Arabidopsis thaliana: one gene and its partner. The protein of the gene in region 1 binds, or shares a complex with, the protein of each later gene. Each region holds a gene or a part of one and is shown on either strand. Other genes may lie near its edges.

Region 1 (8,024 bases):
AAGAGATAAATTAATTTACTCTTTAAAATTTTATTTCTAATGGCATACCTATGTAATTACTTACAAAAATTAAGGTTACATTTAAAATGTACTTCCCAAATAATATAGTAGGATAATTTATATTGTGGCTATAATGTCAAATGCGTTAGTAAGATTTGGTAAGCTTGAACCCAAGAAGCATAATATATGTATACTAGATTTTAGCCCGCGGTATACCGCGAGACGATTTACTCTAAAAGTAATATATATTAAAACTTGCAAATTTTATTTTTATAAAATATTTATATTTTACAGTTTATAATTGTTATTAAGTAACACTATACCACGTATCCATGAGACAATTGTTAAAAAACTGAAGTTTTAACCCCTGTTAAAACAGCCTATTAATAATATTTTAAAATTTTATAAATATTGATTCAAATACATCCACCATATAACCCAATTCCAAAATAAAACCCGTTCTATAGTTTCTTTACCCGTCCCGTGATTTTTTTTTAAAGTAGTAATTTTTAAAATTTAAGAATTATTTGTTATATATAAAAGTTTTGCCATTCTCTAATACATTTATATTTTATAGTTTAATTTTATATAGTAACATTATACATACCACAAAACATTTTTGGTTTTATATAATCTTTTCTAAATTAGGATGATTTGATATGTTTAATATTAGTGGTCTTAAAAAATAAAATATTAAAGATTTTAAAAAATAATATTAGTATATTTTGCTTCAGTTTAGAAAATTTTTGATAACCCGTCTTTAGATCCAATAAGCCCTATAATTAAGAGATGAATATTGTCGTTAAATGATTTTGGTAACCTTAATAACGTCATTAAAGATTTTTTTTTATTAAATTTTTCTAATGGCATTGTCATGTAATTAATTACAAAAATTAATGTTACATTTAAAATGTACTTCCCAAATAATATAGTAGGATATATAGTTAGTGATCCAATGCAGAATTATATAAGTGATGATAAGAGTAAAATATATGGAGTCAAATAGCTTTAATTTTTGATGAACATACATATATGTTTCCCGCTTCCTTCGTTCATAATTGGATCTAAAGATATAAACTTATAATAACCAAGACCCGAAAAAATACACAAACTTACGTTACCGGACAAAATAGTTCTTTTGAATATAAACTTGAACTTTCAAAATTCTTGGAAAACTAATTACAAATTTTTTGGACTTTGTGATAAAAATATTCAACATTAATGAAGAATTATTTAAACGTACTTTACTCAATTTCCATCACATGCATAGCTACTACAGAATAATACGACTCGTCAAACTTTATATAAACTCTATTTCCCTCGTCCTTAACAATACATTTCACGATCCCAAATCTCTCTTTCTCTCAACTTCTCTTTTTAACAAACGAAAAAAGACATGGGGCATAGAAATACCGTATTGACAATACTTCTAACCATTTCTATAGCCATAATGGTACTCATTGCTACAGTATTTGTTAGCAACAACAAAACAGAAACGTTGTTACAAACGCATACGCAGACGCAAACGCTAATTACAACGGGAAGGGTGAGCCGTTTCTTAGCGCAAAACGCAAAGAACGGTCGTAATCTTAACGCAGCGGATCATTGCAATAAAGAAGAGGAGATATGCAAGAGTCAAGGAATGTACAACTCAACCATGGCGTGTTGTAGCAACAAGTGTGTTGATCTGGCGTACGATAACGATAACTGTGGCGCATGTAAGAACCAATGCAAGTTCACGCAGACTTGTTGTAGAGGAGAGTGCGTTTACTTAGCTTATGATAAGAGGCATTGTGGGGAGTGCAACCATAGTTGTTTGGTTGGTGAGTTTTGTGTCTATGGGTTGTGTAATTACGCATGATATGTGATTAGTTAGTTTTTATATGTTAAACTTTGGTATTTTATTAGTGTTTTGTTTATTTCGATTTATAAATTTTAATCGATAATTTGATACGACTAGATTGGTTTTCTTTGTGATATGAGTTTGAATGTTTGATATTGCAAAAAGGTTCAAGAAATGGAGAACCATATAATAGATATTATTCCATATAACATCTATTATTCCATGGACCAATAATCTGGCAGTGCATGGCTTCATAAGCCTTTACTAACATATAAATCTCACAATTTATGAACCATATAATAGATATTATTCCATTTTACATATTAAAATATTCTATATGACAAAAAAGATAGTGATTTTCAAACATAAACTTTGTCTAGAGATGAAATATTATTTGAAAAAAAAAGAGAAGCTTAGAGATGACGCCTAAAGTTTGAAAACAAATGAAGAGAATATGCAAGAAAAAAAAACAAAGAAAAAAATCAAATTTATGAACCGTATAACATCTATTATTCCATTTTCTATATTATATGTGATGATATTTTGTTATTTAAGTGAATAATTGAAGAATTAATTATTAAATTATTTGATATTATAGATGTTTCAAGTAATTTATTTTGTTGATAGGAATGTGAATAACATTAAAGAAATGAAGAGTTGAGATTTAACAAAAGTTGAACCTAGCTATGAGAACTTTGCCAAAAAAAACAAAGTTTCAAAAAAAAGATTTTGAGTGTCAATCAACAAATTAACGAATCCAGAGAATCATCAAGGGGCAACGACTACATCTTCTTGCATTTTACTCATGGGATATTGTCCTTGAATCCTTCGGCTGGTGAACTTGACTGGAAAGAGGCTAAACACATTTTAAAAAGTCGGAAAATTCAGACGTTACACGATGATAAAGAGTACATGATATTTGGTCTAAGTAAAGATCACTACAATGAACAAATGTATGTCTCTTATGTTTATATACTTTTTATGTTCATTATTATAAGATATATTTCTTTGCTTTATTTAGGTTTATTCGAAAGTTTACAAACAAAAAACTAAGAATCGGTGAAGGTTAAGACTACGGTATATAAATATTTCACCAAAGTGTTGGGAATTAAGCTGAAATATTTAGGTGACTTTCCTTGTCTAAGGGATGTCGGCTCTGATCACCCGATTTACTTACCGATTGAGGTGATTTAAAAGATTTTCATATTAACTTACCACATTTTCATGCACACATTATGAACATCGTTGATAGCTTTTGTTACTACGTATCATGTAATTGATTTCGTTACTTAGTATAGGAGATTTATCTGAAGTTGACTGGCCCAAGGTAAAAAGTTAACTTATGCTTATTTGAGTCTTAAGTTAACTTTTTCTCGTCAGGCTGAACTTGTTCGGGTAACTTTTTTTTAAAAGATTTTGTTTTAACGATTTTCCCAAAATCTAAAAGAAGATAAATTATTAAGGGAGAGAATTGGCAATGGAGCGCCTGAGAATAAGTTTTTGAATCAACAGTCGCGGCAAAAGGTAGATCGAAGCAGATCTCTCGCTGGAAAACGTCACATTGAGGTATCTATCGCCGCCAATGGTGAAGGCACTGCAAGGCGCGGCTCAGAATCTACCGGCGGATGTCAACCAATTGATCGATCAGTTAGAGCGTCACTGTTTGGCTCCCGATGGATCTCTTGTTACCAAATCTGTCTACTCCGATCTCCAACTCGTAATCTCTCTTTCAGATTTTGTGTCCACAATCCCCTAATTCTCTTTAAGAGCCTCAAATGTTATTGTATCGACATTGCAGGCGAGAGAGGAGATGTCTCGGGAGAGACTTCGGTATTTGGAAGCTATGGTAACACTTTTATCTCTTCTTCCATTTTTGGGGTTTATTTTAATTTCAGGATTTTCTTCATTCACTTATTGAAGTTGAAGCTGATTAGTTCAAATTAGGGTTTGATTCAATCTAAGGACTCACATTATTAGTTTTTACAATTGTTAGGCTATTTATTGTGAAGCTGTAGCTATGGTTGAAGAATATCAGCAAGCTATTTCAGTAGCTAACCATGGGGGAATTCGTGATGTTCAAGGTCTATACCCTCAACTTGGCTTGAAGAATTCTCCTCAGGTTTCTAATCTCAAAAACGTGATTTTTTTTCTGGAATTATTTGTTATCTCGAGACTCATTTATGAGCATAATTGTTGATTTTTTTTAGGTTTATGAGACTCTAGAGCATAGGTTGGTGGTTGCTGAGGCGGCTCAGAAACTGAGGCTACCTCTTATTTCAGATGGTGGTGAAATTCATGAGGAAGAGATTGAAAAGTGGAGTATACTTTCAAGAAGCTCTCTTGATAGTGCAAGCACGAGTTTTACGATTAGCTCCACTTCTAACTCCGTGAACTATGCGAATAGCTCTGCAAATAGTGTTGCTGGTGGGATTAGTCTTAGTGCTGTTGATACTGACGTAGTAGGTGGTGTTCCGAATCGATTTCTTGGAATAACACCTGCTTACTTATCCTATGTTCAGCTTCAAAATACTATTTCCATGGTAATGTGAGATCATACTGTGCCTACTTTTGGTGTCTTCATAACTATGTTGTTCCTTCATCTGCTGATTGCGAAATATTTTTGCACCAATTCTTATGAAAGATTGGGTTATGGATATCTTTGAGTATCTAATTTTTTCTTTTAAATAACTTTGCTTAGGACATGGCTGACTACCAAATGTTTCTTGCCCGTGAGATAGAAGGTCGATTGAAGGAAAAATGTGATAAGTTGGCTGATGCCATTGTTGATGACACTGGTAAGATCTTCATTACTAGCAGACAGAGAAAGAGGTCTTTCGCTCCTTACCCAAATTCATTTGTTCCTGTCCAATGTGATACTTGGACTTTATGTTAAGTTGTGTGCCAATCCTGACTGTATTTTTCTTATACTCTTCATTAAATGACAGATTCGTCCACAGGAAATCGAAATTCAAGTGCTAGGCTCCCAGAAAGGTTAGCTTTATCACTATGGTTTAACTATGCCTAAAGACATCTAAAAGAAAAACTTAATAGCGTTATGGTTTTAGTGAAGACGGATGGCAACTGGCCTTTCTAGGGATATATATATCTACATAATGTGATATACATGTAAACATATGGTAGCGAAATGCAACTGAAAGCCTCTTTTAGATGATGGGATCATAGCCATAGAGAAAAAGTTATGTTCGTGATAGTATTCTGTTTCTCTGTAAAGTTTATTAAAAGTCTAGAAGGAACAAATGATTTTCTCACACTTAGCCATCCTCTTAAGCTCTCTAGTACCGATGAGTGACCGTGTTTTCTTGCATTTCAGGGTTAAGTTTATAATTGAGGAGATTGAAAGAGATGAAGCAGCTCTACGAGAGGACCTGTACTCGGCTGACAGGAAGTTTGCTGAATATTACAATGTAGGTGAAAAGAATATTCATATTGTATTATGCAAACCGAAAATCTAATTACTGGGCTGTTGCATGATATTTTACTAAATTTTTTTTTTTTATAGATAAATTTCTACATGTATATGAAAGCTACTACTTGTCAATTATCCATGTATCCCCTAGTTGTAGTAAGTTCTGATGACTGTTCGTTTTTATTCTGAACAAGGTCCTGGAACAAATACTCGGGGTACTTATAAAGCTTGTGAAGGATCTAAAGTTAGAACATCAACACAAATATGTAAGGGTTTCAGTGTTTTCCAATTGATTTAAATGCTGCCTGTTCATATATAGCTTACTCTATATATTGTCACAGAATGAGATGCAGAAGACTTGGTTGTGTAAAAGGTGTGAGACCATGAATGCAAAATTAAGGTATAATCTCATCCTTTACTGTTTAGGATCTAAATTTCAGGCTATTGCAGTAGTTAAGATATCTTATCTTTCTCTGCTTGAAGGGTTTTGGAAAATGTTCTCCTCCTTGAGACATACACCCCTGACTCCATATCAGCTCTGCACAACATCAGGTGCGGGAATCTATTTTCCAGACATGTTTCTTTCCATGTATTTGATAAATCCATGACCCCGTCTCTCACCTCCAAGCATTATTGTATTTTTTTAGGAATTATCTAGTCGAGGCTACCGAGGAAGCTTCAGCTGCATACAACAAAGCGGTTTGTGTCTTTATCCTCTCTTACATTGCTTAGCACTAAACCCTTTTGTTCAGTCTTCATTGGCATTTTACTCCCGATTAATTAACCGAGCCTGCGAAATGACACACAGGTTACTCGGCTTAGAGAATATCAAGGAGTAGATCCGCATTTTGATACAATTGCCAGACAGTACCATGACATTGTTAAGGTACAAGCAAGTCATTACTTAAGTCATTTCACCTTCTAAATTTGATTTGACTTGTGGGAATACAACAACACGAATTATAATGAGAGCTTTCATGGTTTTGCAGAAACTGGAAAATATGCAGTGGACCATTCATCAAGTAGAAATGGACCTTAAGTCTCATGACTGATCACTAGATTTGTTAACACTTGTGATATATGTATTAGCAAATCTAATCCTCCAAGAAAGATTGAACTGGGAGAAAAAATCAGTATAATTTAAATATACATCTAGCTATGTGGTCCACTACTTGTAATCTACTTACATTGTGTTATCTTCCTCTGTTATATACTTTTATTGGTCCTTCAAACCAAATGAGATGACCAGTTTAGCAGTACCAAAATAAATGAAAGCAATCATCTCTCTCTCTCTCTTTTCAACCTTAAATTTTTGCCTAAACAACAATAATAATACCACTCTTGTCTTTTTTGATTAGATTCAGACAGAAGACAAATAAAATATGTTAGAACAATCTTGGTTGTTGTGGATTCCCACTTCTCATCATAGCACAAAACTCGTCATAGTTGATTCTACCGTCCTGTAACAAGAAACAAAATTTGAGGTCAGAGAAAGAAAACGAAAAACGTTACAAGGGCGAAGAGCTTTAATCTTTTGGCTTTTACATTATCAGCGTCGACATCAGACAAAATCTCTTTGATAGTAGCATCATCTCCCATTCCATATTCCTTCAAAGCAGCCTCTAGCTCGTCTGTCGTAATGTATCTATTAAACACATTTTCAGTAATAGTCTCATCAATCATTGCTAACAAATCTATTTACATTGCAAAATGATTCATACCAAAAGAAAGATCACTTACCCACTCCCATCTTTGTCAAAATGTTGGAAGGCTTTGTAAACGTTCTCATTACTTTCAAGCCTATGTCTATGCATTGTTGCAGTAATAAACTCAATGTAATCTATTGACCCATTTCCATCAACGTCAGCCTGAATCACAAAAACCCGAATAGGAGTTTTTAAACATTCAAGAAGTAAATGAACGATCTTGTCTTGATCAAAACTTACAGCATCCATGAGCTGTTTCACTTCAGCTTCAGTGAGTCTTGATCCCAGTTTGGCTAATCCTTCTTTCAATTCTTCGTATGTGATAGTACCACTATTGTCTGTATCTATATTAGCAAACATCGCCTTTAAGCCTTGTATTTCTTCCGTGTCAATGTTCTCCGCAATGACCTGTGTCAAAATCAATCTGTAAGATGAAAGGTACAAAGGACTGTCAAATCTGGCAACAAGGTGTAGAATCTTTGATCTAACCTTTAAAGCAAGTTTCTTTAGTTTATTCATCGCTCTAAATTGCTTCATCCTTGAGAGAACAGCACTATCAATAGGCTTATCCGATGCTTCTCCACCTTCTCTTAGCCATGGATGCTCTTCAAAAGGTAAAACATCAACCATATTGTCAACATTCAAGTAAGTATACAAGAAGTTACCATAACCAACAAAGAATAAGATCGTTTACTTACTAAGAACTTCAGCAGCAGAAATCCGTCTTTTCGGATCTTGTGTCAACATTCTACGTACCAAATCTTTAGCACTATTGGAAATTGAGGGCCAAGGTTGGGATTCAAAGTCGATTTCACCTTCCAATATAGCATCAAATATCCCTTTCTCCGTTTCTACATTCCCAAAGCCAACAATCCATACTCATACACACATGCAACTACATTCTTCTCAAATATATATGAATCGAAATAACCGATAATTTCATCGCATTTACCAGCCCAAAACGGAGGCACACCACTAAGTAGAATGTATAGTATAATTCCAGCACTCCATATATCGATTTCTTTACCATATCTCCGCTTCAAAACTT
Region 2 (7,652 bases), on another chromosome or scaffold:
TGTGGAGTGGTGGAGGAGAGAGATGACGTGACTTTGTTTTTATGGTTAACTTTTGTTTTTAATCTAAAATATTTCCACATGAGAAAATGTGGAGACTTTTGCTTTTTCCATATAGTGGTAATGGCCGTAATTTATGCAGCTAGTTATTGCTTTTACTGTGCTAAATCTAGACCGAATTAATTAAAAGTGCATGTAGTAAAGTCATTTTACATACTATTTACAATTGTTGAAATTTTACATTTGTACTGTGTGAGAGGGTGTTTTATGATACTTTTCCTAATGATTTCAATTTTTGTTTCAAAAGGTGGTGATAATTTCAATGTATTTAGCGATCTTGTGTAATTTTGAAAAGTAGAAGGAGAGTGTCAGTTGTTGATAGTGTAACAGTTAAAGTGGACGATTTTGTCTCTTAATTAGTTTCTCTTAATTATTTCAAGTTTCCATGAAACGGTCCAATTAATACTAATAAATTTTCGGAACCGTAGAATGTCATTGCTAGGCAGAGATTCGTTTCTGTTTCTGTCGTTAAGGCTGCTGTGTTAGGCGAGAGAATCGTGAATAGTAAGGCTAATTTCTCAAATCAAAACTTTGGTTTTGGCTGGGTTCACTGTTACAAATTATAAAGTTTACAAAAACTATCACAAATGTTAAACTCAAATCTGCAGAGTATGAATACTAATTTATTCACCTCTATTGATATCTAAAGCAAAAACACCAAACATTCAAAAATATAGGATGGATCTAAATGGGTTTGAAAGATGGACCTGGGTCATCTTAATATAAGTTTGCCCACCACCAATAAAAACTGAGGGGTATGACAATGGGGACTAAGAGACACCTACACGTGTGCAGTGCCTACAACCATAAATTTGGCAGTAATTCAGGTTTCCGGAGTTTCATGATGACCGGTTTAATTTAGCGGTTTATCTTTTTTCCGAGCACCGACATTTTCAAAGTGGGCCTAACTATTTGTTACCTTCGAGCTAGCTCGACCGACAACTTGGTCAAAATAATTTGACTTGAGCGAACCAAAAAGGTGATTAGCGCCACTAAGCATGGAGACGTAAAAATTGTTAACGGGGAACATGCGTTTATTTGTTTATCATTACTTGTATCATTTAACTATATGAATAGCTGTTGACAAACTAATTAATTTTCATGTTGATCCACAACAAAATTCGTTTATACACTTTCATTATACTGTATCTTTTATAAAATAAAGTTAGTTTTTAAAATTAGTTTCGATTTGATGTTATATTATAAAATTTATATAAAGTTTACATTAAAAATCCTACTCGATATTCTTTTAAAATGTCTTTTTTTTTTAAATGGATTTTCTCTGTTTTTATTAGTGAACTTTTTCTTCAAAAAGATGACTATAGTTTCAAATGTGTTAAATTAATCAGACGGCAACTAATGTGGAAAAAAACAAAGTAATTCATATGATTAAGTTGTGTTGCATGCTGGTTTAATAAAGCTTTCTTTTTCAGTTTTCCTAGTCTTCCTCTTAATTTTTTTTTTTTTTTTTTTCAGTTTCCTAGTCTAGTTTTTGCTACGATTCAGTTTTCTTTCAAAGGATGTATATAAAAAGAAATGTTGTTAAAAATCAGTGAGCCCCAAGTGCATTTTTTGAGTTATTCTTCAGTAGACTGGCAGAAGAACGTTCTTTTCAAAGATAGTAGCTTGATCAGTTGTCGCAAGAACAATATTCTTTCAAATATTCATGAGTAGAAAAAGATGGTCGTTTCCTATCGTCTTGAGTCGCAAACCATTAATAACTTAATTAAAATGTTTAAAACAAATAAAACGCCTCTTAGTTGTGATAATCCAGTCGTTAAATATCAGTCTTATAAAGTTTAACTATGCATTGATTATTCGCTTAGCTTATGCATAAAATTTTATTCGGCATCTGGTGTGTGGTGTGGTTCGTGCAACCCGCTCAATTAACTCCGAATCTATGGAATTAATAATGTTGTCGTTGGTGGTTCCCATATTCCAAAAGAAAGAAAAAAACTAAATTATTTTCAAATGATTGAGCGCCACGTGTCTCTTCGTACCAGCACATCACCGACGACCTCAAGCTCCAAAGTTACACTATATATTCCACCTTACTAGTTACTACGATAGTATTTTAAGACAATATTTAAGGAACTTTATTACTTGTTTTTTGATAAAGAAATGAGAAGATGGGAATCGAACCCATTACTTAGCTTGAGTATAATATCATAAAGGAACCAAATGAGCTGCGAATAAACTTTATTAACCCCATATGTCTAGCTTATTTGGTGAGTACGAGAAGGATTGAATTTTGCTTGTTGTTGGTGCTGAGTTCAAACTTTCATTTGGGAAAGGATGGTTTAATTTCATTTGGGAAAACTTAAATTCTTGTTTATTTAAGCAGATTTGATGTGTTTATTTTTCTTGATAATTATTTTAGATTCATATGACAAGAGTCGGTCGATGAAATTTCTATGCATGGGTTTTGTTTTCTCTCCCTCTCTCTCTTAAATCCATGCAGAATAAAAAAATTGGCGATCCATAATAATGCAGAATATTAAATGCAAGGTATAAAATAAATAAATGTAACAATCAAATCCCAATGTTTTTAGTTAATAAATATGTTAATAACCAGATCTGTCAAATCTTTGATATTAAAGAGTCTTTTAGTATAAAGTGAAGAACTTTTTATTAGATCAAAATATGTTTTTTTGCTTCTAGACGTTCCATATTTCATAAATCTCCCACCGACGGTCTCACATTGTTTCGACTTTACAATTAATAAACGTGCCATAAGCTAGAAGCTTCTCAGAGCAATCTTATTAAAAACAATCTTAAGAAAGATTCAAGCTTTATTAATTTAGAAATAAGCTAAGAATTTATATACAGCTCAGCTCATGATTTCTTTATATATATAAAAAAGAAACTTAATATATAACTCGTAAAAAGCTTTATGTATTGTACAAAGAAATGAAAAAGGGAAAGACTAATTGAAAAACACCAAACATTTTTTTTTTTTTTTTTTTATCCATATCAAGGTTACCATATATTGATGTTATAATTTCTAAATACAAATATATTTAAATTCTCGTTATTCAACAACATTTTTTCATAATGGCATATCAACAATACTAATACAAACCACTAGTTTCTATTACATTGGTTGGTTTTTGTCGGGTTGCTTTCGTTCCGTCACGTAGCAGATCTCAGTGTCCATATTTCTCGACCGTCCGTAATAGCATGTTGGGCTATCTTCAGCATATTTCTGGGCTAAGCCCATTTTGGTCTTCGGTTCTTCTTCAGATGTATTTTTGTGAAGTTGTTGGATGACTTACAATTTTACATATACAAAAGTAAAGTATAAATTACTGAAGTAGGAAAAAAAGAAAAGAGTTTAATGGCATGACGAAAAGTTTTTGAATATTTTTGAATTTGGTTTTATATATAACAATCTGGATCCGCCACCGTCGAATTAATCTCCGGAAAGCTCGTCGAAAGATGTCGATGGGAGGCGACACGACGTGGGTTGGGAAGAAGCCGATCAGACGCATCGGTGGATTATCTGATGCTCTCTCTATCGCCTCCGATCTCGGTTTCGCCGTCGCTCCTCCTCCGTCGCAGGTAACTTCTCTTGTTCACTTTAATCTCATCCGAATCGGAATTGCGTCTCCGGTTAGTTCCATTAGCTTGAGTATAGCATATGCTTTGGGTTGTATGCTATTAGATTGACTTTGCAGAACAATGCGTATGAGAGATCTATAATTTGAAGGAGATTATGTTTCTGAGGAATGAGGAATTTTAGCTGCTTGTTAGTTTTGCGAATCTCTGGACCATATGTTTTGATTAGATCTTTGATCTCTTGGCTTTTATATACTGAATCTGAATTTTTCATCAAGTAGAGAATATTTATGGTTAGTTATCTCTTCAATTGGCTCAATCATTTTCCGATGTAGGAAGAATTACAAAGCTTTGCGTCTTCGAATGGGGAAAGAGGTGATGATTTGATAAGGGTATTGAGAGAGTTATCTGTTGTTCAAAGGAAAATTGCAGACTTGCAGGTCGAGCTTCAAGGGAGGAAGGTATCTTTCTCATGGTTTTGGTTTCTTTTTCAAATTGAAATAAGATATGGATCATAGTATTTGCATTGCCTGAAGCCTTATGATAACTTATTGGTATATCTCATGTAACAACTTTTGTTAGATGCTTTGTATATAACTTCTTTTGTTGGCGAATTTCAGGATGATAAAAATGTGGCGCATTTGACTCATGTTGGTGAAATGCAAAAGAAAATCGAGACTTTGTCAAGGATTACTCAAATATTGAAAGATGTTATACAAAACAAGGTAGGATCATTTTTCCTTTCTACTTACCTCTAAAATCTTCTCTCTCTTTTTTTTCTGGACTAAGGTTTATGTATCTTTCGAGTTCATTTATCTCTCTTTTCTGTCTTTAAGCGATATCCCTCTTATTCACTATCGTTCTGAAAATTGAGAAAATTCCTTAAGATGTTTTCGAAACATTAGCTTCTGAGTACGTCTTAAGACTGCCTTATCTTTTAGTCAATTTGTGACCCTCTAGTTGAAGTTTATTACATCATTTGTCTGTTTATATAACAGGATCGCATCATTGCTCGTCTCCAACAACCTTATTCGCTAGATTGCATTCCAGTTGAAGCAGAATATCAGGTGATTCATGCCATTTTATACTATTTGCAACTTTGAGGACCTTATTTAGTATCTGAAGTTGCACAACTGGAAAACGAAGATGCTATGTTTAATGGCTTTGTTCTGCTTTGTTTTTCAGAAACAATTCTCAGAGTTGCTAATGAAAGCCGCCAGTGATTATGGCGCCTTAACAGCATCCGTGTCTGATTTTCAGTGGAGCCAAAACTTTAAAGAACCTCCTTCAGTCTGGGGGGTACGATTTTACTCTCTTTTACATGCATCTTGATTTTTTTTCCATTTACATCTTTGACTTTCAGACATAACTCCACATGTTTAGTTGCATACATTGGATTACTCATTTCAGTTGGAATCTAATACATTGTTCATAGTGTAAGAGGAAAGCACTGTATTACACTACGCCATGCGTTAACTGTATAGAATACATTGCAGAAGGATCAGTTGTGTCATCAGGTCCTTGAATTAGATTTCTATGTGTTTAAACTCTTTGCATCAAGAGAGAAGGAGATTGCTACTTTTACGTAATGTGTTGCATAACAGTTGTTGATTTCGGTTTTACATGCTATAATCTCAATCTCTCTACTCTTTTTTTCCCCAACAAAATTATAGGAAATGCTGCGTCCAATACCTGTGGCACTAGCGTCATGCACGAGATTCTTTGAGGCCATGTCTGCGATGAGAGAATCATTCGCGACTCTTCAAGAGCTTCGAGTTGGTAACTCTGCAGTTTCTTTACCAACAACACCAGGAGGTAACGAAATGACACATAGAGACTCAGATTGTGTGACTCCACCTCAAGGGAGGATAGAGTCAAGCTTCGACGATTTAGCTGTTCATAAAACAAGGAGACAAAACAATGATCAAAATGAAGAAGAAGAAGAAGAAGAAGAAGAAGAAGATGGTAATAACAATGGGAACCGGAGACTATCTTGGCCTCCTTCTGTAAAAAAGAGTAGCGTTTAAACAGTTGCTTTTGTCTTTGCTTGAGCTTTTTAATATCGATCGTGTTTTGTTTCATCAGCATTAGTGTTCTTTATGGATTTACTTATTTCTATTTGATAGTCTTTGAGTGAAACTTAAAACAGTGTATATTTTGTTAACACTGGTTTTCATGGTCCATGTGACTATCATATTTTAGTCTGTTCGTTTGTTCGCCGCTTGCGGCTGCGGCAGACCGCGGCAAAACTACCGCAAAATTAAAATATTTCATAGATGTGGGAATTGTTTTAGTCGAGAAATCTAAAGAGGGGTCTATAAAAAAAGGATTAGCATTCATAGGCACAATCGTTCCACTAAATAACTCGTATGGTCTAAATATTGTAGTATGTAGACTGTAGAGAGTAGACCATGAATTTAAGACAACTTTAATTGAGAACCGGTGGCACCTAATCATATTTTAGCCACCTAGTTACATAGCCCGGTCTGGTCTTAAAAGTAGTTTGTGTAAATTGGACAATAAAACCTCATATATCATTTACATGATATTTAAACTGTAAAACTCATCACTATTTAAAACTATAAAACGAACCACAAAAGTGTTTGCAATAAAAAAAATACCACTTATATATAAAATTCATATCAGATTAGATTGCATAGGTTCACTGCCAATCCATGGCCAACATTTCTAAATGATATACAGTACATGAAAGACTATTATATTCAACTATTCAAAGTTATCTGATGGAAAATTATTACATGAAATCAAATAAGTAGTTGAATCTGGATGATCGATCTCAATATTCATATTAAAATGGAACACACTTTTGTTGTTAGAGTATTGATATAATGCATGTAACGTGAAATTGCAATAATGCATCATATATAGGTTTATATAGATTAACTGAGAGACATCACTTGCGTTGGTTACTCAATAATTACGTAGCTAAAATTAATAAAGCGGCGTTAAGGACCCACCCACGAGCTCTATCTATATATTTCCGTGGTTTTTGTATTCGAAACAGAATCGATCACATACGTCCAAATTTTGATTTGTTCCTGGCCCACTCCTTATCCTTACGCGCCCGAACGCGTGTCCTTTTAAATTGACTCTTTCATATAACCAAAATATCAGACCAACCTCTGGTTTATTCGGTTTAGCGATTATACTCATTATTACACATTTTCCAGACACACAAATTGAGATTATTTAATTTCTCACATTTCAAGTATATATTAAATTTCGGATGCGTGCAATTAAATGAAACGAATAAATATGTGCAAGCGATTAATGTACCGACGCAGGCGATGAATATTCGTATTTCTCGCAACTTTAAATGTCGATGATACACTTTTCAAAGCATAACTTTAATGTCAAATGTCAATTCATTGTCCATGCGTCCATTTCCCACTCTCGACACCTATTTTCATGTCTTAAATTCTTGATTTATTGCTTCATTTTTGATTTTTATTTTTATTTTGTTGTTTACAATTCATTATTTCTTGTTCATTTTCTGTAAGACATTTGACAAATTATACAAAAGAATCGAATCTACAAAACATATTCTAATCTAAACAACAAAATCTAAATCTAACAGTCTCAAAAATATTTGACAATCATGCAAATATGTTACAGATAATATCAATTTTTCATGATGCGAGAAAATACCATTTTAGTGCTCATTGAATAAAGATGCATTATTAGTTTGCGGCTTTTCAGAAGACATCAAGTCTCAAAGGACCATTATGTAATTTGAAGAAAATAGGAAACTACACGCGCCTGCCAAAGAAGGACCTTATCCCACGCGTTTATATATCTTCCAATCCATAAGCAGAGCTTCTCTTCAACGTGCTCCGGTGAAGATTAAAAACCGACGAGACCCTGGCGCCATCACAACTACGCAATCTCATTCCTCCGTCTTCTTCGGCTTTCAAATTTACCATTTTACCCTTCTCTTTCCCTGAGACGTCTTCTTTGGAAATATTCTTCTCTTCTTCCATTCCAAGTAAACCCAAATTCTCTCTCTCTCTCTATCT

The links.
Region 2: AUG4 (region 1) and AUG2 share a complex: the UniProt entries of both Arabidopsis thaliana proteins name them as parts of the augmin complex.

The regions. Positions count from the first base shown.
Region 1 is NC_003070.9:18,783,017-18,791,040, reverse strand, and holds AUG4 (HAUS augmin-like complex subunit), read left to right. Parts: upstream 1-3,238; 5' UTR 3,239-3,425; coding exon 3,426-3,560; intron 3,561-3,641; coding exon 3,642-3,689; intron 3,690-3,836; coding exon 3,837-3,962; intron 3,963-4,050; coding exon 4,051-4,383; intron 4,384-4,541; coding exon 4,542-4,638; intron 4,639-4,788; coding exon 4,789-4,834; intron 4,835-5,174; coding exon 5,175-5,268; intron 5,269-5,464; coding exon 5,465-5,536; intron 5,537-5,611; coding exon 5,612-5,670; intron 5,671-5,753; coding exon 5,754-5,822; intron 5,823-5,917; coding exon 5,918-5,969; intron 5,970-6,078; coding exon 6,079-6,156; intron 6,157-6,259; coding exon 6,260-6,322; 3' UTR 6,323-6,532; downstream 6,533-8,024. Other genes in the region: AT1G50720 (Stigma-specific Stig1 family protein), read left to right, coding at 1,397-1,861; CPK33 (calcium-dependent protein kinase 33), read right to left, coding at 6,656-6,730, 6,816-6,915, 7,011-7,384, 7,466-7,581, 7,675-7,827, 7,929-8,024. UniProt on the Arabidopsis thaliana protein: Involved in microtubules reorganization during spindle and phragmoplast development.
Region 2 is NC_003071.7:13,995,559-14,003,210, reverse strand, and holds AUG2 (HAUS augmin-like complex subunit), read left to right. Parts: upstream 1-3,261; 5' UTR 3,262-3,495; coding exon 3,496-3,618; intron 3,619-3,950; coding exon 3,951-4,076; intron 4,077-4,235; coding exon 4,236-4,340; intron 4,341-4,613; coding exon 4,614-4,682; intron 4,683-4,800; coding exon 4,801-4,914; intron 4,915-5,288; coding exon 5,289-5,642; 3' UTR 5,643-5,886; downstream 5,887-7,652. UniProt on the Arabidopsis thaliana protein: Contributes to the assembly of the acentrosomal spindle and phragmoplast microtubule arrays as part of the augmin complex.